Linked DNA regions of Drosophila melanogaster. The gene in region 1 interacts genetically with each later gene. Each region holds a gene or a part of one and is shown in the gene's direction. Other genes may lie near its edges. The genes, in order: wake, Pdf and Pdfr.

The links.
Region 2: of wake (region 1) and Pdf, changing one suppresses a phenotype caused by changing the other (phenotypic suppression), as found in Drosophila melanogaster (one study listed by BioGRID).
Region 3: of wake (region 1) and Pdfr, changing one suppresses a phenotype caused by changing the other (phenotypic suppression), as found in Drosophila melanogaster (one study listed by BioGRID).

The regions. Positions count from the first base shown.
Region 1 is NT_033777.3:22,637,147-22,643,923, forward strand, and holds the start of wake (wide awake), read left to right. Parts: upstream 1-2,661; 5' UTR 2,662-2,764; intron 2,765-6,777. Other genes in the region: loco (locomotion defects), read right to left, coding at 1-1,793.
Region 2 is NT_033777.3:26,453,830-26,459,165, reverse strand, and holds Pdf (Pigment-dispersing factor), read left to right. Parts: upstream 1-3,024; 5' UTR 3,025-3,102; coding exon 3,103-3,411; 3' UTR 3,412-3,704; downstream 3,705-5,336. Other genes in the region: CG14238 (uncharacterized protein), read right to left, coding at 1-88, 620-813; CG14237 (uncharacterized protein), read right to left, coding at 1,924-2,289; CG43117 (uncharacterized protein), read right to left, coding at 4,126-4,353. UniProt on the Drosophila melanogaster protein: Neuropeptide PDF is the main transmitter regulating circadian locomotor rhythms. Required to maintain behavioral rhythms under constant conditions by coordinating pacemaker interactions in the circadian system.
Region 3 is NC_004354.4:2,569,452-2,578,521, forward strand, and holds Pdfr (Pigment-dispersing factor receptor), read left to right. Parts: upstream 1-2,754; 5' UTR 2,755-3,215; coding exon 3,216-3,395; intron 3,396-3,522; coding exon 3,523-3,979; intron 3,980-4,048; coding exon 4,049-4,159; intron 4,160-5,020; coding exon 5,021-5,172; intron 5,173-5,411; coding exon 5,412-5,669; intron 5,670-5,740; coding exon 5,741-6,037; intron 6,038-6,103; coding exon 6,104-6,367; intron 6,368-6,442; coding exon 6,443-6,603; intron 6,604-6,665; coding exon 6,666-7,002; 3' UTR 7,003-7,554; downstream 7,555-9,070. UniProt on the Drosophila melanogaster protein: Receptor for PDF, a neuropeptide controlling circadian behavioral rhythms. Probably regulates circadian behavioral rhythms through coordination of activities of clock neurons. PDF-binding results in the elevation of cAMP synthesis.

The DNA.
Region 1 (6,777 bases):
TCATCCATAGAGGCCACGGCAGCCAAAGTGCGCGGTGAATCGTCGACAAAAAGATTAAGGACATCATCACAGGAGCGGGTGGATGTGAGATTCGTGGCGGGACTTTGGATCAGATTGAAGCTGGCCAGGAGATTGGGTCGACGAAGCGAAGAGCTCGCTGGCGGCGATCTTAGCAGGGCGGAATGATCGGGCATGGCCCGCACAGTCAGTCGATTATCCGGTATTCCCACTATGCCCAGTGGACGAGCAGGAGCTGGATAAGTTGGTGGTCCTGCATGTGCCGCCGCCGCTGCTCCCGCTCCTGCAGCTAGGAAGTCCACAACCAGAATGCGATCCGAAATATTCGTACAATCGTTGTTGAAGCCAATGCCCGAATCCGAATTGGACGTGGTGGTGGAGATCTCGCTGTGGTTCGATGGCTGCGGCGAGTGGGCAGCTGCTACTGCTCCTCCAGCTGCGGCGGCTCCTGCACCCGCCTCATAGTCTGCCTGATGACTCCGACTTGCCGGTGGGAGAATCCGCATGGTATACATGCTGCGCACGAGATTCACCACATATTCCGAGTTGTTAGGGAACTCGAGACACAAATTCGAGATCGGATCCCGGGTGCACTGCAGGCGGAACTCGTGGGCCCGCTGCAAATGCTGTGCATGTTCGATCAGCTTGGTGTCGATGACGAAGACATGGCAGCTGTGCGAGATACTGATGTGACCAGCAGCTGCTGCGCTGCCAGCGCTCGGCTCGTACTCCTCCTCGATCTGTGTGTTGTGCACGGCGCTAGTGACCAGACCAAAGAATCGATTCTCGCTCTCCGACGAAGAGCTCACGAAGTTCAGCCTGGCCGAGGAGTAGGTGGCCAGCACTCCGCCGCTGGAACTCTGCAGGCTCAAGCTGTCCGGCGTGATGCACATCAGCACAATGGTGGGCTGTCGCTTCTCCTGTCTCAGTTTTCGAATGCAAGATCGAACTGTCTGCAGCTTGGAACTATGCGAGATCTGCTTGGGCATCTCGATGGTTCCCAGATAGCCAACAATAACACGGCACTCCAGTGCAGCACTGCCCACAGCTCGCACCATGGCACTTACATTGGCCACATCCGCTGCTTTGGATAGATTGGCTGTCAGAGGCGGATCCTCCAGAACGGGTTTTAATGTAGGGTGATCGGGTGATGACTTTGATTTGTGCGGTTCCACTGCCTCTGGTGGGTTTAGCTTCTTTTGTGGCGAGTTGCGCAATCTGTGCAGTTTGGCTTTGTGGTGTAGAAACCTGGGCTTGTGCCTCAAACTGGCTGCCAACAATTGACCCCTCAGCGTGGCATGGGCGTTCTCCTCATCCGAGCTGTCGGAATAATAATTCTCGGCGATCTGCATGCGAATACTGCCAAAGGAGTTGCCAATGAGCTGCACCACTGTTTCGTGTGGCAACTTGGAGACATTTAGACCGTTGACCGATATGAGGAAGTCACCGGAACGCAGGCCAGCTTGCTCGGCAGGTGAGCTGCTGATGATGCAAGACAGCCGACATGGTTGCTGCCCGGAAATGGTGAAACCGAAGCCATTGTAACCACGTCGCACTTCCACGGTGCGGATGCCATTGTAGTTGTAGTTGGCTCGCTTCTTGCGACGTCGCTGATGCTGCTGGCTGTTGGATCCCGAAGGCGTGGTTGAGGTGCTTATGGGGGCGGGCCCACTATTCGCAGCAGGTGATGCATCCTCCGCTGCAGCTGCTCCCGTTCCCACGGCTGTGGAGCCACTTGCTCCGGTTATGGGCAAAGGCGGATGATGGTGGTGCATGGCGCTTACTGTGTGGAGAAAACGAATGATGAGGAGTACTGGCCAATCTTAACCCACATCTGGACATTTGTACGCACCTTTCTCATGGATGGAAGCTGCAACCTGGATTTCTGGAAATGGAATGCGGTTTCTGTTGCGCCCCTTTTTGGATGATGCCCCCTCTCGCTCGCACCCGTGCGTCGCCTATGCCAACTATGTAATCAATGGCACACACACATGCGCACCAATGGCCAGGCGTATTTTGTTACACTTTTCTAGGCCTCTAATTAATTGATAACTAACTCTTCTTTGGGTGCTACCTCATATTCACGCGGTTAATAACATCGTTGTAACTTTATCAGGCATATTTGTAGCAATTAATTGTGTGTAAATCGGTAATTAAAATTATGTCTACAATGCGCAAGCGTAACTATGATTAGAGATGGAACACACTAAAATGTTTACTCGATACTATCGATATTACATACCTTTTGTGAAACATCGATCACTTTGACACACCATATTTTTAGTAATTACTGTTAAAGTTTTGCAGAATGTCAACAATTTTTAACAAGCAGTTCTAGAGAAAATTTGATTTGTTCAAATATTGAAGGCATTGACCATTGATAGAAAAACGATATTTACAAATTTGAATTAGATAAAAACAGGGCTGCCAGACTCATTGAAATTTATGAAGCAATCGTTGCCACACTGGGCTGACCTTCGTTGCATAGCAACGAACTTTTGTCACATCCCACTGCCGTCAGTTACTTTTCGATTTAAATAAAAGCTCCGAACGCTCGTCCTTTAAAGTCCTTCCGGTGAGCTTACATCTGCGTAGCGTGTTATTTGTGTTTGGCCCACGCCGTTTCAGTTACATTGGGACTTTCAAACGCATTGGTTGAACGCGCGCACCCAGAACCGCTGTTGAATTAGTTTTTGAACCCGAAAACAGCAGTTAAATTGCTCGAGTGAAATGTAAAATGTTATTGGTAAACGGATCGAAGTGTTCGAAGTTCTAACGCTGAAATGTTTAAGGATTATCCGTAGCAAGACCTGCAGAAGTGACCCCAGTCAGCCAGTGTTGAACCAATTGAAATGTTGGCAAGGACATTACGGACAAAGAATAGAAAGCCAATAGAAAGCAATGGGGGTGGGATGTTGCGGAAACGGAAGTGCCAAATTGAAATGCCATTTAAGCCAGGCGAGCGATTTGCCCGTCTTCGTTTACGGCTCATCCGGATTCGTCTGCGTCTGGTCAGGGCACTCAGATTTCTTGCGGGGAATGGATTCGAGAGCGCGGCAAGTGCGATCCCCAGACGACACTTGGCGTCGCTCTTGACATTGATTATATTCATGAGACCAAGTCATAAATTCCAGCCCGACTGTTTACGAGGATTCTAACACCAATCCGCTGTCCCCGATTCCCGGTCTCTGCCCAAAGATGTGGCCAAGTTGCGACTGGAGTGCCAATAAAATCATTAACTGTTGCAGCGCATTAAATTCATGGCCCAGACGATGCTGCCGCGCTATTCAGGCAGCAAACATTGTCATAAAACCTCGGCCCATTCACGCCATATTTCATTTCATCTCCTCATCTCCATCTACCTCACATCCATCTACCTCACATCCTAATTGCCGAAGGTCCTGAGTCCCGTGGGCGTGTGAAAAACTATTAAAAGGCCGTTGGGCCGTGCATCGTGGGCCCATAATTAATGGCGACAATGACTTGATCGGCCGATAATTAATTTATCGTCATTTATATTGCCAAACTGACTCGACGCGCACATACTATATATGTGCTATATACATGGTTACCAAAACGGTTGGCGATCCCATGGGAGCTCGTAAATTGTCCAGAAGTCTAGTTCCTACTTCACTTTAATTTCTTGGCTAGCGAAAGTTTTCTTTTCAACTAAGCCCAAGTAAGTTTCAGTTGGTTCTATTGTATTATTTTGGCACATGCTTCATTCCTGCTCGCCTCTCACATAGTTTTGGCCACAAATTAGTTTGGCAGTGGATTTTGTTAGCCACTAGGAGATGCCGAGCATTTTGCATTCCCATACCAACCGACTTTTCGCCTGTTTTGTCCAACTATTTTGCTGCTGAAAGTTGGCAGGAAAAGTTTCTCAATTGCGACGAAGAAATCAATTGGAAATGATTGAAACCTAATTTCCCAAATGGACTGAATACATAAATCAATAAATTATGTCCCCTCGAAGATGGGAATCGACGGAAGCACCTCAGTCATTACCGAAAGTTTAATGTATTTAAGGGTTAATAATATCGATCGAACTGATTTTTGATTGATGAATGTCCTGTGAATTTATTAATGTCACCATTGTTTGCTAAGTGTTTTGTTATTTGATTATAATTGGGGCTCATGAAAGCATTTCATTGGATCGTATATTAAAGAATATTATTAATATACAGTAATAAAATGGAAAACTTTGATTGAATTTTTTCCATATATGTACAAAAGTGTCAAAGTTCACTGCTCGCATTCATGTTTGTGTGTGCTCAAATGGTAAATCTGACCAATGTCATCAATATTTCAACAAAAAAGTAAATATTTTCGCTTCACTGAATCGCAGTGAACCGTAAAGAGCAGTAAAACTATGCTGATAGCAAGCTTTGTGTCTATGACATCCAGCTGCACCTGATGAAAATCCGCCATTCTATCCGCTTAGGGATTTAATTCGTAAACGTCTCACTGGAAAATTAATAGGAAAATACGCAATTTTCACTGGAATGCCAACTTTCACCCCTGACATCTTAGAATATACTCTTTTTTTTTTTTGTGGCATTATCATACCCACACTTTTTGTGGGTCCTAAGTCGCCGTCCTTGTCGCGATTTCGGAAATTGTTTTTACCCACATTTCATTTGTTTCCCAAACTTTCTGCATTGCGCGAGCGCCAAAAAAGCAAAAAATTGACACAATTTAAACTTTTCTATAAACAAAAGCAATGCAGGGCAGCCAAACAGAAAAGGTTAGCCAAACGAGCCATTTGTTCGCGCTGCTGTTTACTTCCTTTTTGCCCCAAATTTTTCCCCTTTTTAGCTGTCGTGGTTATTTTTTCGTATACTCCAGTTTATTACAGAACTCACAGAAATTAATGCTGCTGGGGTTTCTGGAGGGGTTTTTTTTTTTTTTTTGGCTTTTGTTCAAATTTGTCAAAAGGAAAAGGCTGACCGAAAACGTTTGCTTCGTCCTTTATTTTTCCGCTTTTGGTTTCTCAATTTCGTTTAAATTGCGCACATTTGAAACAATTTGCCAACAGCAAGCGCCCACACATGCATTTTTTTTTTTTAACAGCAGAATGCATTCTGCGGCTTGGCAGAGATTTATGCAGGCATTTCATAAAGCTGACAACATGGCGTATGATTAATATCGCTGCCTGTTCCCTGAATTGCTATTATGCTGCATTTAATTAAATCTGCAAGCGATGATTAAGTGCTTAATTTTACAGGCAAGAACCAAGTACTTACAAATACTTACCTATACATATATATACATATATATATATATAACATTGCTATTTCTGGGCGCCCGGCTTCTTGACAACTAAGATTAATTGGTATTGCCACTAAAAATATAAACAAGGAGTTCTGATATTATACCAAGTGCCGGACAAGGACGTTGTTGTATATACTATATGTGGCATGCTCTCAATAAATTTAAGCATTTCATGACAATGACGTTGCAGGCGATGCGTTCCGAGAATTCCGACTATACGTGTGCATATTGCATATGGCTGTGTTTGGCCTGGCTGACATTTCTTGGCCTTTTTTGCCCTGGCATATGTGCGAAAATGCCAACGTTCATTGCAATGCAATTAATGAAGATTGCTGCAGCTGACGCGCACTTTGCATGAATACAATGTGATGTATGTAAAAATGCCTTTGGCTTATTTTTGGCAATCTAATTTGCAATTTCAGTTTCATTTAGCAGTCAGACTAAATTCTAGCAAAATGATGTTCAAAGAATTGTGTTCTAAATTGTAGAATATTGCCTATATTTTCGTAACCAACCAATTTTTGGTTAACAACAAAAATGAAAACAATGTAAGCTTCTAAAAATATTATTTATTTAGTCACTATATTTGCTTTTTATTGCTTTTTATTGCTTTTCTCTTAGCATTTCATAACGACCGGCCTTCGTTTTAATTGATACAAACGCTTTATTTACATTCCCTGCTTTTTTTTTTTGCTTGCTCTTCATTTCACTTTCAATTTATATTCATAGGCCAATGCTGGGTTCTTTTATTTATTTCTGGTTTTTATGCAATATGAATTGCGTACGGCAATTAGAATGACATTTTGCTGTGCCTTTGTTTTGTTGCGGTTCGCTTTTAATTACACGCTCTCTCTCTCGTTGATACTTTTAATTAAGGCTGCTAATTAAAGATGACAGCTAAGTGAAAAGGTAGTGAAATTCTCGCAATTTCCGGCTTAGATATTAGCAATTTCAAGCAGCGCGGAATCGAAGGTGGCACATTTCGCTGGACCTTTATCCCCCGCCAAACCATTAGTATGATATCCTTGGGGCTTATCGCAGTTCTTATTACCAATTCGGTTGCTCTGTCTGCTCCACTTTTGTGCTTGATTAATGCCCGGGATGTGCATTGGATTGCGCCCGGGATCTGCGGCGCGGCGGTAAGACAATGGCAGGAAAAGCTGGTAACGTTGCCCATTGATTTGTGCCACCTGGCTGGGGAAATGGCCTCGGTTGCCCAGCGGAGACGCATCGTAAATCATCAATGTGAAACTTGTGCTGGCAGCACTTGCTTTTGCAATCGGCCTTACGCTGAAATCCGAAATTTTCCTACGAATTTTCTACGATTTTTACCCTGGCCCAATCCGGCTACAGTGCCTGTAGCGATTTAATGGCTCTCATTTTTGTTTTGGCAGCACAAAGTTTTCGCTTCGATTCGACGCGATTCGTTATTGGTAACAATTGGAAAGTTGGCTGACTTTATAGGCAAATTTTTCCAATTCAATG
Region 2 (5,336 bases), 3.8 Mb from region 1:
GCCCACCCGACGTGCTACCTTGTCCAGCTCCAGCAGCCATATCGCCGGCACAATGCTGCTCAGGTAGAGGAAAACCGAGGGGCAGAACCTGCGGACAAAGGACACAAATGAGGTGGCACAGCCGAACGGCCAAAACAAACAACAAGTCTGAGTGATGCGACGAAAGGTAAACAAGAGTCAAAAAGACTCCATCCCCCACGAAATTCCATTAAAGTTTTTACTAGTACAAAGTGTGAGGTGGACAGCTTACACTTGAAAAAAAGTACACCCCGAAATGATAATACAAATTGGCTTTAAGATACAAAATTCATAGGATTTCCTATTTCTAGATTCAATTCATATGCATATTTTTATCCAAAAATCCTATGTAAACTACATTGTGTTGTTTGGAAATCGTGGCTACTTTTTTTTTGAGTGTGGGGGTGCGGCCGCAGTGTTGGTGGTTTCTATGAAAGTGGGTGGCCAGGTTAGGCACACATTAAACACATGATTTCACTTTTAATTGAAAATCAAAACCCCGCGGCATGACGTCAGCATCGACTGACTGTTGTTTACATTTCGAGTTGGGAGTTTTAATCAGATGCCTGGGGTAGCCAGGATCCGTGGGTTTCATCCTTACCAGCGCCACTCCTGCGTCTTCTTGATCATGATGGTGAAGATGCCCTCGAGCAGCAGCAACAGCAGTGGTCCACATAGTGCCCAGTATATGATATCACTCTTTAAAGCCACCACCTGCCAAATGGCCAGCAGGCTGTGCGCACTGAAGATGATCCTCGTGAGGATGGCCTTGATCGTCGAGATTATCTTGGCCATGGCTGCAATGACATAATCCTCTCGTGCTCGCTTCCTGCAGCTCGGATAATCAGGACCGAGGAATACCACCAAATCGACCCGAACCGACGAAGCGAACCGCACACGGCGAAAAGGTAAACGCAACTGACAGCAGAAATCGCGGGGTCCCAAATGCTTTCATTAGATGTTTAAACGCTTTTTAAGAAATTAAGGACACAGCCGCGAATGGCGCGTAATTGGTGAATGGCCACGGACCCCCGTCCCGATGTCCTGTGTGTGCGTTCAGGACGAATCATCTTCGGCTTGTCCAGGGACGAACTGCAGACCGAAAAGTAAAGATTCTTCATAGTAAGGAGAGAGTAAAAAATATGGATCTTAAATAAATTCTAGCTAATAATAACTTTCTTAATATATTTTAAAACCTTTTTTTTCCATTTTAATATATGGGAAATTAAGTTTCATTTACTTTCTATACTCTGATGTGACCAAGACGCTCCTGGAAATGTCTTCCCAACCGAAATCGAACCCATGCGTGTTTCACTTATGTGTGCCTCCAAGTCACACCACGACCATTAAATGCTTCAGCTGACTTTTAAGACGGCAAACGGTGGACGATAAACGCGGAGTCCGCGTTCCACCCACCGGATTTTGGGTCTGGCCACAAATGCAGTGCAAACAAATCGTCGGAGTGAACGACGCCGAGCCTTGGCCATCAAACTGCTGGGTAATGTGGCTGCATGGAAAGTTATAGTCATCGTAAACCTACCCCGTCGAGATATATCCGATGTTTGCCCATTGGTTGGGGGGCGGAGTTGGGTCAATGTTTTTGCCGCACGTGAAGTCATTGAACAGGCATAAATAAAGGATGATGTGCGTTGTGTGACTGGGCACAGCCATGCTAGAAGGGGCAACCTGTTGATGGGAACAAAGAAAATTTCAAATAAGGTAAGTAATTTGGCATATATTACGCATACGACATGTGCAACAACCATTGGGGAATCCTTCGCTTTTCACACGTTCTAGTACTGACCTTTCTATTATCCTTATGGTTTTAAATACTCAGATGTTTTTTTTTTTTGGAAAATTGCTTTTATTGCATGTATGGATATGACTTGATGTGGATTTTGGAACCTAGCCCTGATTGCGGCGTCGCAGCAGCCTATTGAGGCTGCGCACACTGACCCGCCTTCCGGAGCGATTCCTGGTCCTGTTCCTGGAAGTGGAACTGGCACTGGTGTCACGGTAGACGCGCACCCTGCGCTTAATCGAGTACTTGAGGTTCTTGATCCTGAACCGCTTGCGATGGACCTTCGAGGAGGAGGAGGAGGAGGAGGAGGACGCGGTGGTGGTGGTCGTGGTGGCTGCTGTCGTCGTGGTGGTGGTGTCACTGTCCGTCGTGGTCGTCGTAGTCTCCGTGGTGGTTGGCGATGAGGCGTTGGTTGCCCAAATGCATAGGCTTATCGCTAGGATTCGGAGTGCCAGTTGTCCTGTCTTCATGGTGTGCTCGGTGATGCCGTTGCTCGGATGAACTACCACTTCGGAGGCTGGGAGTTTTATATGTGACCAAGACAATTGGCGGAATTTCTCAGCAAATATTTGCATTTTGCTCTCGCCAATTACGTCCGCGCGAAATTTTTTGGCCATATTTACACAGTTTGGTGATCAAACAAAGGAACAAGCTGGAATTTCGCAAAACGGCCCAACTGCCGAGCTAGCTATTAAGTTTTATATATATTTAAGATTGGTATTTTTACGAGCTTCGTTCTAAAATTAATCACACAATTACACAGAGAGAAAACGAATTGAGCAAAATATTATTCACAAATAAGGTTCGTTTTAATGGAAGGTCAGCAATTTTGTCTGCAATCGTATATTATTTAAATCCAATAAATAAGTTGGTTTAAAGAAGTGCCTAAATTGGGTATCCTCCTTTTTTTTGAGTGCCACATGGAGTCGCCAGTGAGCTGCCTTCCCGTACAAATATCGCTGGACTTGAATGGGATTTGGTGCCTGCATGTTGGCACATAAAACACTGCATAACCAAATATTTGCGTGGCTCCAACTCGACTCCGTATTTGCCTGGGCTAAAGGACCGCCGCTGCCTGCGGATGACATGTATTGGTCCTGCGGATGACACCGATACTGACGCTCTTGGGTTGCGTGGTCGGGCGGTCTCCCGCAGTGGGTTATCCAGTCCAGGTTGCTATATAAGTCGAGGATGCGCCAACCGACGTTCATTCGCAAGTCTCCTGCTGCAGGTGTTCCGTGCTCAGTTCCTGCTCCTGGCCATCCTTCCAGCTCCTCGGACTAATGGCTCGCTACACGTACCTTGTCGCCCTTGTGCTTCTGGCCATTTGCTGCCAGTGGGGATACTGCGGCGCCATGGCCATGCCGGATGAGGAGCGCTATGTGCGCAAGGAGTACAATCGGGATCTCCTCGACTGGTTCAACAACGTGGGCGTGGGACAGTTCAGTCCCGGCCAAGTGGCCACTCTCTGTCGCTATCCGCTGATCCTCGAGAACTCCTTGGGCCCATCCGTGCCCATCAGGAAGCGCAACTCGGAGCTAATCAACTCCTTGTTGAGTCTGCCCAAGAACATGAACGATGCGGGCAAGTAAGAACGGAAAATGCTGAAGGATTAGGACGACCCACCACTGAAAGATGGAACCTGGACAAGAATTTATTATTTGATGTTATAGTATGATTTTTTGGTGCGTCGAAGGAAAATGAAAATCCGCAGATAAAAGCCGGTGTAGTCATCTAATAGAGAGAAAAGACCGTATAACTTTTGTTGCTTTAAACCTAAATAGAAAAATATACAAGTAGCCTATTGTAGAAATGTTGTATATTATTAGGCTTACTGCTGAAATAAACGTTTTCTGGATTGTTTCGACTTGAAATCTGGTACAACAACTAGTCAGGATTTTTATTCTTAATCACAGATACTAAAGCTAGTTAAAGATATTGGTTATCCCCGTAAAGGGCGAACCAATGAAAGCCAAAGGTGTTCTCAAAGTAGATTTTGTTCAATGCTACGATTGGAATAAATAGATGTTTCTAGCTTAGAATAGCAGCCCCATTTCGTTTATTGACTTCATTTATTATGCTATATCTAAGCAGTCAAAACCTAAGGAACTTGGCCATGAACTTGGCAAACAAATGCGTAGAAAGTAAACTAAATGAGAACTAAAGTATGTTCATAAAAAACACACTTATAAACAGAAAGACAAAAAGATCTGTATGTAGAAGTATAAATTGTTGTGCCCATTATTAGAAATGTGTTTTCTTTAGGTATTTTTTATTCGCCATTGTTTGGTAAGCTAAAGATCTTATTAACCAGATTTCTTGTTAACATGGATCCTGCGCACTGTCTTATAGTGGAGATTACGGATCGTAAAATGTTTCCTATGAACGGTTGTGGCCTTGGCAGTGGTGGTTGTGGTTGCCTCCGTGGTTGTGGTGTTGGTGGATGTGGTGGAATTGGTCTGGGCTGAGGAAGGCTGCAGCAGGCAGAATCCGGCGAATAGGACGAGCGCCAATAGATAAGTGCTTAGCTTCATTGTGCGGCTTTGCAAGAATCGTGAATGTATAAGACGAGGCTTTAGAGGCCTTTATATATACGAAAGTTTTCTACGCCAGACAATAACAAATATCCGCAGATGATAAGTAAATAGCGAAATACAATTGAAAATCAGCAAAAACAAATTTTGCACGCCACATTTTGCTTAACTTGTTTGCTTCCAATTCGATGTTTACCCGCCGCAGGAAAACAGTTGTAGGCGCGTTTAAATGACGGCAATATATATATTTTTCTTATAAGATATATAACTATGTTAATCAATGTTGCTGATTTATATTAAATATCGAACGATTCTCGATTCGATTTATGTGTAAGTTCATTTGGCGCTGTTTGAAATCGGTAAGTATTGTATAGAAAAAGTTATGCGTATGCATTATGTCTGATTAAGCTTGAACTATGTGTGTGTGTATTTATGCAAATGTTAATGCCATATTGAAATTACAACATTAGACAATCGAATTGTTGGCAACTACTACAAACATGATGTATACAATTCTATTCATTTTCAAATTACAAAACAATCAATTCTCGCTGGCCTTTCGGTCCGATTAATAAAACAATTGTAACATATGCGAATGTGTGTATATGTTGATGCTTCTTGCTTCGGCTCAAAATGCAGTTTCGGTAGCTTTTCACTTACATGACTATGCCTGCTATTGCATAAATACTAACTAACTGGCCGTACACTGCCTTGGCTAATCATTAACGGCTAATCTAGCATACAGTATGTGGCTGCAGCGGAGGCACATCTACCAGCACACCCGTGACTAAGTCGCATGCCCCGAAAACGCTCTGGCCACTGCTTTTGCCAAGCTGAAAGGATGCGAAAGTAAATGTTAGTTAGTTCAGTTTGCAATTGAGTGCGGAATATCTGAGATACTCACACATATGGTTATAGGTTATAAAGCTTTAGCTGCTTCCACAGCTTTTTATTGATTTATATTTTTGGAAACGCACTCTGAT
Region 3 (9,070 bases), on another chromosome or scaffold:
GTGCCGCCCTAATTGGCACAAACACAAATGCAAGCCAACATTAATGAGCTGCCGCGACACGGAATATGACCAAAAGATTTAGTTTAAAGTGCACTTTTGATCCGAGTGTAGTATTTATAACTAACAAGTGCCGTTACTTGCCTATTATTAAGTGACCCAATTGTAAAGGTAATAATGTTTTAAAAACATTCGCAGTTCACAATAATTACAATTGGTTTGTGGTTATCACTTAGGCGCGCTCGAAAGTTTATTTCTTTATTCGAAACTAAAACTTAATTAAGCCCAATTTAATTGGGCCTACACACACGCAACGCACTGTACTTGCTATGGCAACTCTATGGCTAAAGAAACCCCGCAGTGAAAAGTCTTTTGGCTTGTCAAATAGCGCGAAAACTTTTCAAATAGCGTCGCTAGCCGCCAAAACCAAGACCAACCAGTTTTTCGTGCACCTCCACCCGCTTGCCACACGCTTTTCCGTCCCCCACCCTCACCACTTTGCCCACTAGCCTTTTGTTAGCGAGCATTGGCCCATTCAATGCATTTCGTCTCTCTGAATGGCGGCTCTTGAGATTCATTTTCTTTCATTTTCCCCATAATTATGGCAAAGAAATATACGGGGAAAAAAACACGCTTCAACGCCTGCAGATGAATTTCCCCGGGCTTTGCGATTTTTCCCGGCCTACCGAAAAAGAAAAACACCAAGTCTTGAAAATTTGAAAAAAAAAAAAACAAAAAACAAAAAACTTCGACTGCACTTGGGCCGATGAAAATGTTAAAACAATCGATCGGCAAAAGGGGCACGCCCATTATTTGGGGCTCAATCAACCCAATTTTCAAGTCGAGCGACGTCAGCTGAAATTACTTTATAATCTTGTTGATTGCTGATTGCACTTATTGCACATTTAAAGCTCCGTCCACTAACGAATTTAAGTTCACATAAATCCTGATTGCCTGTCACTATCCACTATGAGTATCCACCCATCAAGTGGAATTGACAAGCTATTTGGGGCATTGCAATGCGTGTTAAATAATTGAATTGCTGAGTGTTCAATAAGAAAGTTGATTAATTATTCAAACGGCCCAGCATGTTTGGGTTTCCAAATTGTAAACAATCGAGTCCAGAGCTCGTTCAATTATCGGCCTGAAAATGGATTGCTCAAGTCAAAAAAAAAAATATATGCCAAGGGCGTAATAAATATAAAAATGTGCTTATGTAATATGCAAGAACATTTTGATTAACAAGCCTCTTCTCGATTGCCAACTACCAACTACCAATAATATTTGTAAGCTCTACTCTGTACACACTTTACACACAAACAAATTGCAGTTGAACAAACCACTTTCCTCAATGTAATTAAATTTTAGTTACTTTCTGTTTCTGACTGGTGCTAACTTTAAATTGCACAAGTATTTAAAGGGGTCCCTTAATCCCTCAACCCCATAACCCGCACGCTGCAACTGCTGCCAAGTGACCCAAATCAGGGTCTGTTGTCTGCTTGGAGATGCCGAATCGCGGCATCCAGCATCCATCCAGTTGGTTATCCAATCCAATCCAAGCCAAGCCAAGCCAAGCCAAACCAAACCGTTTCCAATCCCTGGCCCCGCCACTGGCTTTTCAGTCGCTTTGGAGGGGATTTTGCGCTTAGTTAGCTTAATTACGAGCGCGAGCTGAGAATCGGTTCGCTGCGGCGATAAGCATCGATTGGTAAATAAGCAGCGAATTCAAGGCTCCCGAAAGGCTTAATATCTTAATTACTTAATTATATATTTTAAATATATATATATATATACATATACCGTATATATCGTTGATTTTTTGCGCTGTGGGAGTGCTTAGTCGCAAAGTTTTTGCTAATGCTGCACTTCGTCTGACGCTGGCGCTTATGCAACCAAAATACATATTGAGCAGTACAAAGCCAGTGGAATGCCCCCAGGGATGCGGAAATGCGGAAATGCAGAGATGGATAGCTGAGGGGGGGGAGGGAGGTGGGTGAGCGTGTGGGTGGAGCATAGCCTGCATGCATGCATTCGTGTGCAGCGACTACTGGCGAAATTGAAATTCTTATGAAATTATATAAAATGCACTCAAAGGCATTTTTGGGGCAGCTTAGCAACACAAGCAACACAAGCAACACAAGCAACATGGGCAACATGAGCAAAATGTGCAACTTTGGCCACTTTGGACGACCGTCCTCCGCATGGCTTGTTTACGCAATTCCGGAAGTGAAAAAACCAAAAAAAGAAAAAGAAATAAAAGTTGAGGCAAAAAAAAGCGAATGGCAACGTGTTTCCTGTGCCATTCCGCCGCCATTTGCTGCTGCTGCTGCTGCTGCTGCAACGCAACCAAGACAGGAAGAAATCATAATTTGTCGTGTGCGATTGTCATTGAAGTAATTTACATTCCGTTTAGCCTTGGCCATAAATTGCGCAGAGGAAAATATGTGATGCCGTCATTAAAATATGAAATCTTGTTTTTCACAAAACGTGCCACTAAATGATAAACAAGCTGTTGTTTTTCATTGGGAATTACTCCATCTCATTTGTGCAATGATAAAAGCATTACATTTTCGAGTCTGCACGATCGTATCATCAGTTGTTTGCAGGACCTTGAGTTCTTCATACAAAGTTTTAGCTGCTCATTTTTAATCTGTTCCTTGTGCAGAGATTACACTTCTCCGAAAAGAGCCGACACGTAAATTGGAAAAGGGTTAGTGCAACTGTTGTTGCAATTACAATTCATCACATAGCCCGTAGTTCCTCTTCCTGCTGCACAGAAAGAAATTGGTATGTGGCGATCGTTGCAATGCCATGCAATTCAATGCCCAATTCAAAAATATTTGAAATGTGTAAACAACTCACTTGTTTTCTTTTCTGCGTGCATGTGGTGCTCCTGGCCATTTGCCATTTCGCCAGGCATAATCCCGACAATCGGTGCGATGTGGGTGATACGAGTGCGAATGCGAATGCGAATGCCAATGATATGTGTATTGTATGTATGTGCATACATATGGCGTCGTAGCGTGTGGGCGTGATGTTTGCACTCCGGTGCAGCGGGACTATAAATAAGCCGGGTATTTATTAGGGGCAATCATAAACTGCGTTAACGACGGGCACTCTGCCAACGAGAATAAGATCCGGTAAACAAAGGCACCGGTCGACGTACGTCTCATTGTGCGATAAGCTTTCAATTAAATCTGACCCGGATAACGGGGCGCATGGGTGCGGGAAATCGGAAATCGGAAACGAAAACGAAAACGGAAGCGGAAATCGAAATCGAAATGGAAAGAGATCAATTTTCAATTGCAGCCAATGCATGCATGTCCATGGGTCCAATGCTAATATCGAAAGACAAAGCTCCGTGTTCTGGAGGTCGTGTTCGCCATGCAGACTCATTGGTTGGTTGGGTTTAACTCGTACAAAGTTTGATGGGTTTGGGATTGTTTTTTTTTTTTTTTTAGAACGATATAACTCGATATAATGCTGGTGCGTAAATAACAACGATGTTCATTGTTCGCTTTGCAGCACATTTACTATGCGGTCGATGGCAAAATGACCCTCCTGTCGAACATTCTCGACTGCGGAGGCTGTATTTCCGCCCAGCGCTTCACCCGCCTGCTGCGCCAGTCCGGCTCATCAGGACCATCCCCATCTGCACCGACGGCCGGAACATTTGAATCAAAATCCATGCTGGAGCCAACATCCTCGCACAGCCTGGCGACCGGACGCGTGCCACTACTGCACGATTTCGATGCCTCGACAACGGAATCGCCGGGAACGTATGTCCTCGACGGTGTCGCCAGGGTGGCCCAATTGGCCCTGGAGCCCACCGTCATGGACGCACTGCCCGATTCGGACACGGAACAGGTTCTCGGTAATCTCAACAGCAGCGCGCCCTGGAATCTAACGCTTGCGTCGGCAGCGGCCACCAATTTCGAGAACTGCTCGGCGCTTTTTGTCAATTACACCCTACCACAAACAGGTACCTAAAGCCTAATAACTTTTAAATCATATTGCAGTATTTTTTTTTTTTTTTTTGTTGCCGGGATAGGACTCTACTGCAATTGGACCTGGGACACATTGCTCTGCTGGCCACCCACTCCGGCTGGAGTCCTTGCACGGATGAATTGTCCTGGCGGCTTTCATGGCGTAGATACGCGCAGTAAGTAACTGAAATACACTCTAAAAAAAAAGCAGCCGAAAAAGAACATGCTGAGTACAATTAGCATAATTAATCGTTGAAGCTGTTTAGCTGTTTAGCAGCCACAAGAAGCTTTATGACTTCTGCCGGCTTATTAGGAGTCAAAAGACATGTCCTACGGTGTTTATCCCATCCACACGGCATATCTGGCGGTCACAATCATACGGATCATTAGCTGGGAAACGGTTCAAGTGGTGCACGGCAAACAATTACTTGATTCCGTATTCATCGAAAGGATGTCAATATTTACATGCATGACTGGGGGCGTCCAATCAACCGCACTCCCAGTCGGGGCCGCCCCTCCTTGGCTTCCATCGCCGGGGGCTGTCCAGGTGTTTCATGTGCACCCTCGAGCTCCGCCAGTTGAACAGGGTTTAAAACACCAGCCAATCGATTGCTTAATTACGATCCTAAATGCTTGCTCTACCCCTCCGATAAATTAAACGTTCTGCAATGGGGAATTGCTATTTAATAACCATGGGCGATATACACTGAGCGAAAAGATTCTAAGTAGCTGACTTACCACCCAATATTTTACAAACTTAAAATGCTCTTCCATTATCACTAGTGAATGTATTATCTGCGCTTGTGGTGCAAAATCTAGGCATATCGAACTATATCTGTTAAGAAATAATTATTCGAGTGCATTGTTGAGCTACGGCCTCATTTCTCCGGGCCGTGTCTAGATTTTTAGCCCCAATATTTTCAACTGGACGAGGTCGGTCGCCCATTCGATTGGCATAATTGCACTTGTCAGTCAGTGTGTCAAAGCTCGATTACTGTCATTAATCCAACCCAACCTCCCTCTTTTTCGGTTCGCAGAATTCGCCATCCGAAAGTGTGAGCTGGATGGTCGATGGGGCAGCAGGCCAAATGCCACGGAGGTGAATCCGCCGGGATGGACGGACTACGGGCCGTGTTACAAGCCGGAGATTATCCGTCTCATGCAGCAGATGGGCAGCAAGGACTTCGATGTGAGTTGAATTCTTTCCACACTACATCATAATACCTGTTTCAGTTATAGTTAAGAGCATTGCTTAAATGCCAACCAAAATCCCAAATCAAGGGTATGGTTTTGAAATTACCTAATAGGGTTCCAAGTTTTTTAGACACCCTAAAAAGTGATTTCAAAGGCCTGATTACATTTGTTGATAGTGGTTTATAGTAGTAGTTTTAATTCCATTTCTTCCAACTGGTTTGCGATATCCCTTAGGCCTACATAGACATTGCCAGGAGGACTCGAACCCTGGAGATCGTGGGCCTCTGCCTCTCCCTGTTCGCCCTTATAGTTTCCCTGCTGATCTTCTGCACATTTCGCTCGCTGCGAAACAATCGCACCAAGATCCACAAGAATCTTTTCGTCGCCATGGTGCTGCAGGTGATCATTCGCCTGACCTTGTATCTCGACCAATTCCGGCGGGGAAACAAGGAGGCGGCCACCAACACGAGTCTCTCTGTCATTGAGAACACGGTAGGCTTAATATTCCCGCATAAGGATAAGGTATAAGGCTTATGTTCGATATTATATGTTATGTTCTACAGCCCTATTTGTGCGAAGCATCCTATGTACTTCTGGAGTACGCTCGTACCGCCATGTTCATGTGGATGTTCATCGAGGGCCTTTACCTGCACAACATGGTCACCGTGGCCGTTTTCCAGGGCAGCTTTCCCCTCAAGTTCTTCTCGCGACTCGGCTGGTGTGTGCCCATTCTGATGACCACCGTGTGGGCGAGATGCACGGTCATGTATATGGACACCTCGCTGGGCGAATGCTTGTGGAACTATAATCTCACGCCCTACTACTGGATCCTCGAGGGGCCACGACTAGCGGTCATACTGGTGGGTAATATCAACTGTTGATCGCTTTAATCACCTATTCACCCAACTGAAAACATCCGCATGCAGCTAAACTTCTGTTTCCTGGTGAACATTATCCGAGTGCTGGTAATGAAGCTGCGTCAATCGCAGGCCAGCGATATAGAACAGACTCGCAAGGCAGTTAGAGCGGCTATAGTCCTACTACCACTTTTGGGTATAACCAATCTCCTGCACCAGCTGGCTCCTCTGAAAACGGCCACGAACTTCGCGGTCTGGTCGTATGGCACCCACTTTCTCACCTCGTTTCAGGGATTTTTTATAGCGCTAATTTACTGCTTTCTAAATGGCGAGGTAAGACATCAAGTCACTCAGTTGTCCATTTGCCTAAAACCCTCACTATTTCCAACCAAAATATATATTTTTTAGGTTCGTGCCGTGCTACTAAAGAGTCTGGCCACCCAGCTGTCGGTGCGAGGTCATCCGGAATGGGCGCCGAAAAGGGCATCTATGTACTCGGGTGCTTATAACACGGCGCCGGATACGGATGCAGTGCAGCCTGCAGGAGATCCATCGGCCACTGGAAAGCGGTAAGCATCCGCTTTGTGCACACCCCACCTTGAAACTCCTTACATCAATTTAAAACTCCCAGAATATCACCGCCGAATAAAAGGCTGAATGGAAGAAAGCCGAGCAGTGCCAGCATTGTGATGATTCACGAGCCTCAACAGCGCCAGCGACTGATGCCCCGGCTGCAAAACAAGGCGCGGGAAAAGGGCAAGGACCGGGTGGAGAAGACGGATGCGGAAGCGGAGCCGGATCCGACCATCTCCCACATTCACAGCAAGGAGGCGGGCAGCGCGAGATCGCGAACTCGCGGCTCCAAGTGGATAATGGGCATCTGCTTCCGGGGTCAAAAGGTACTAAGAGTACCGTCAGCGTCATCCGTGCCACCCGAGTCAGTTGTATTTGAGTTGTCAGAGCAGTAGACCAAAACCTAGCCTAACTAATAGATGTAGCCATAGCCGTAGCCAAATAGCCGTAGAAGTAGCCAACGCCATGTAGCCCACCACCACAGTAGCCAGCACCCACACAATCGGACCGGAAATGATCCCAAAGATAACCCAGAACCCGACTATTCCTGCATCTCCCATCGACCCACCAAGCAAGCCAGCTGGAAACAGCACATATGTAAAATACCCCAACAAAATATCGCAGTTCTTATACCCAAGATCATTTTGAACAGAAAGTAAGCTCATTGTTTTGTAATTCAAATTAAACCAATAGACATTTAATTTAAATAGTTATTTTCGCTTGCCTTCGGTTCTTGCTCCACTGTACTTATGTAAATACATACATACCTTTATTTGTGTAAGCCATATCCAAACCCTTTCCAAAATCTAGAAATCTCCTATCCTTTCGAAATCGGCTAATCCTACGAAAATTCAAATTTCCCTACAAGTTTTACAAAATATTTTTGATGACAATAAATTTCCAATAGCGTCACCTTCTGTTCTGGACACGCAAATACATTCAAAAACACTCGCACACGGTTCTTACTCGATGAATTTTTCAGCAAAACTTCAGCGGCATGTTCTTTTACTTCTACTATTCATATTTAAATATTAGATTGAAATATTTAAGTGAATTAACACAAACTTGCGGTAACTGCGCAGTGTGGCCAGGCTTTGTGAGCCATTAGAACTTATTACATAACATAATTGAAAAGTGACATTGTTTAAAGGAACTCACCTTTAATCAACTGTTGAACTTGCTGTTCATCGGATTCCGTTATTAAGTTTTAAGATTTGGGTTTACTTGTATTTACATTTTCTTTACCACTTTGATTAGCTTACACTTTCCGTTCCTGAGCTGGTCACACTGCCAGCTACAATCGATCACGTTCACTGCAACTGCCTTGAATTTTGCTAGCTGCGCTTTGTTGTGCAACAAAAACTTTGCCACAATCGATATTTAACTAATGGGGTCCATAATCGGAGACACATAAATGCAATAAATATCTTTTCGGCTATTCTCTCCTCCTTGTTTCCCACTCAAAATGCGGCTCTCTTGGCGGACTCTTCTCGTTTTCGTTTTCTTTTTCTTCTTTCTCGCCTTTCGTTCGCAGGACAAATGTGTGATGCCGGGCTCGCAAAAGACGCAGCAAATATTCATGACGTCGCAAATGCCGCCGACGTCGACGCTTGCAGCGGTAGCAACAACAATTACCACAACATCAACAACAACAACGGCAGCCAAAACAACAATAGCATCCATTGCAACCATCGCGACGATGACAAAGTCAAAGGCGAAAGCCAAAGCGATTTCAAAGAGCCATCAAATACAAATGCCGAAAGCCTAGTGCATCTCGCTCTCTTTACCGCTCACACCAGCAACACTCAGAACAACACACACCGAAACACAATATTCACGCCCATCCGCAGGCGCAACTGTTCTTAAACTAAAACTAAAATGCCGCGAAGTATGCTCTCTTTGCAAGAAGCGAGTTCGATAAGTCGGATATCGATCGATACACGACACACACACACGCATACATACATATATCCTATATTTTTGTATATTTACCAACAGCAGTTGGGCCACAGTTTTTTTTGCACATGTGTAAGAAGTGCGCTGATGAATGTAACTGTTAATCTTTTTTTTTCTAAATAAGCTCAATATACATACATAGATGTAACGGTATTTACAAGAGCATAGATAAAGCATACATATTTACATACCTGTTATTTACACGGATGCAAGCAGCAGAAAAATGTCGGAGAGTAGTTCGTACATATAATACGAGTATATACATATGTACATAGATATGTATGTATACCACATATAACGAGAGTACAAAGCACATGGAATGGTAACGAGGAACAAACAGAAACAAACGGATTGAAGGAATCACGATGTCACATCATCTGATCTGCGATCAGTGCGAATGTCGAATATTCATCACCCTAGCTTTAAGCTTACAATGCATTTTAAATGGAATATCTTGTGTGTGGAATCGTGTTTGTTTTCATTTAGTTTTGGTTTCCTACTCGCTTC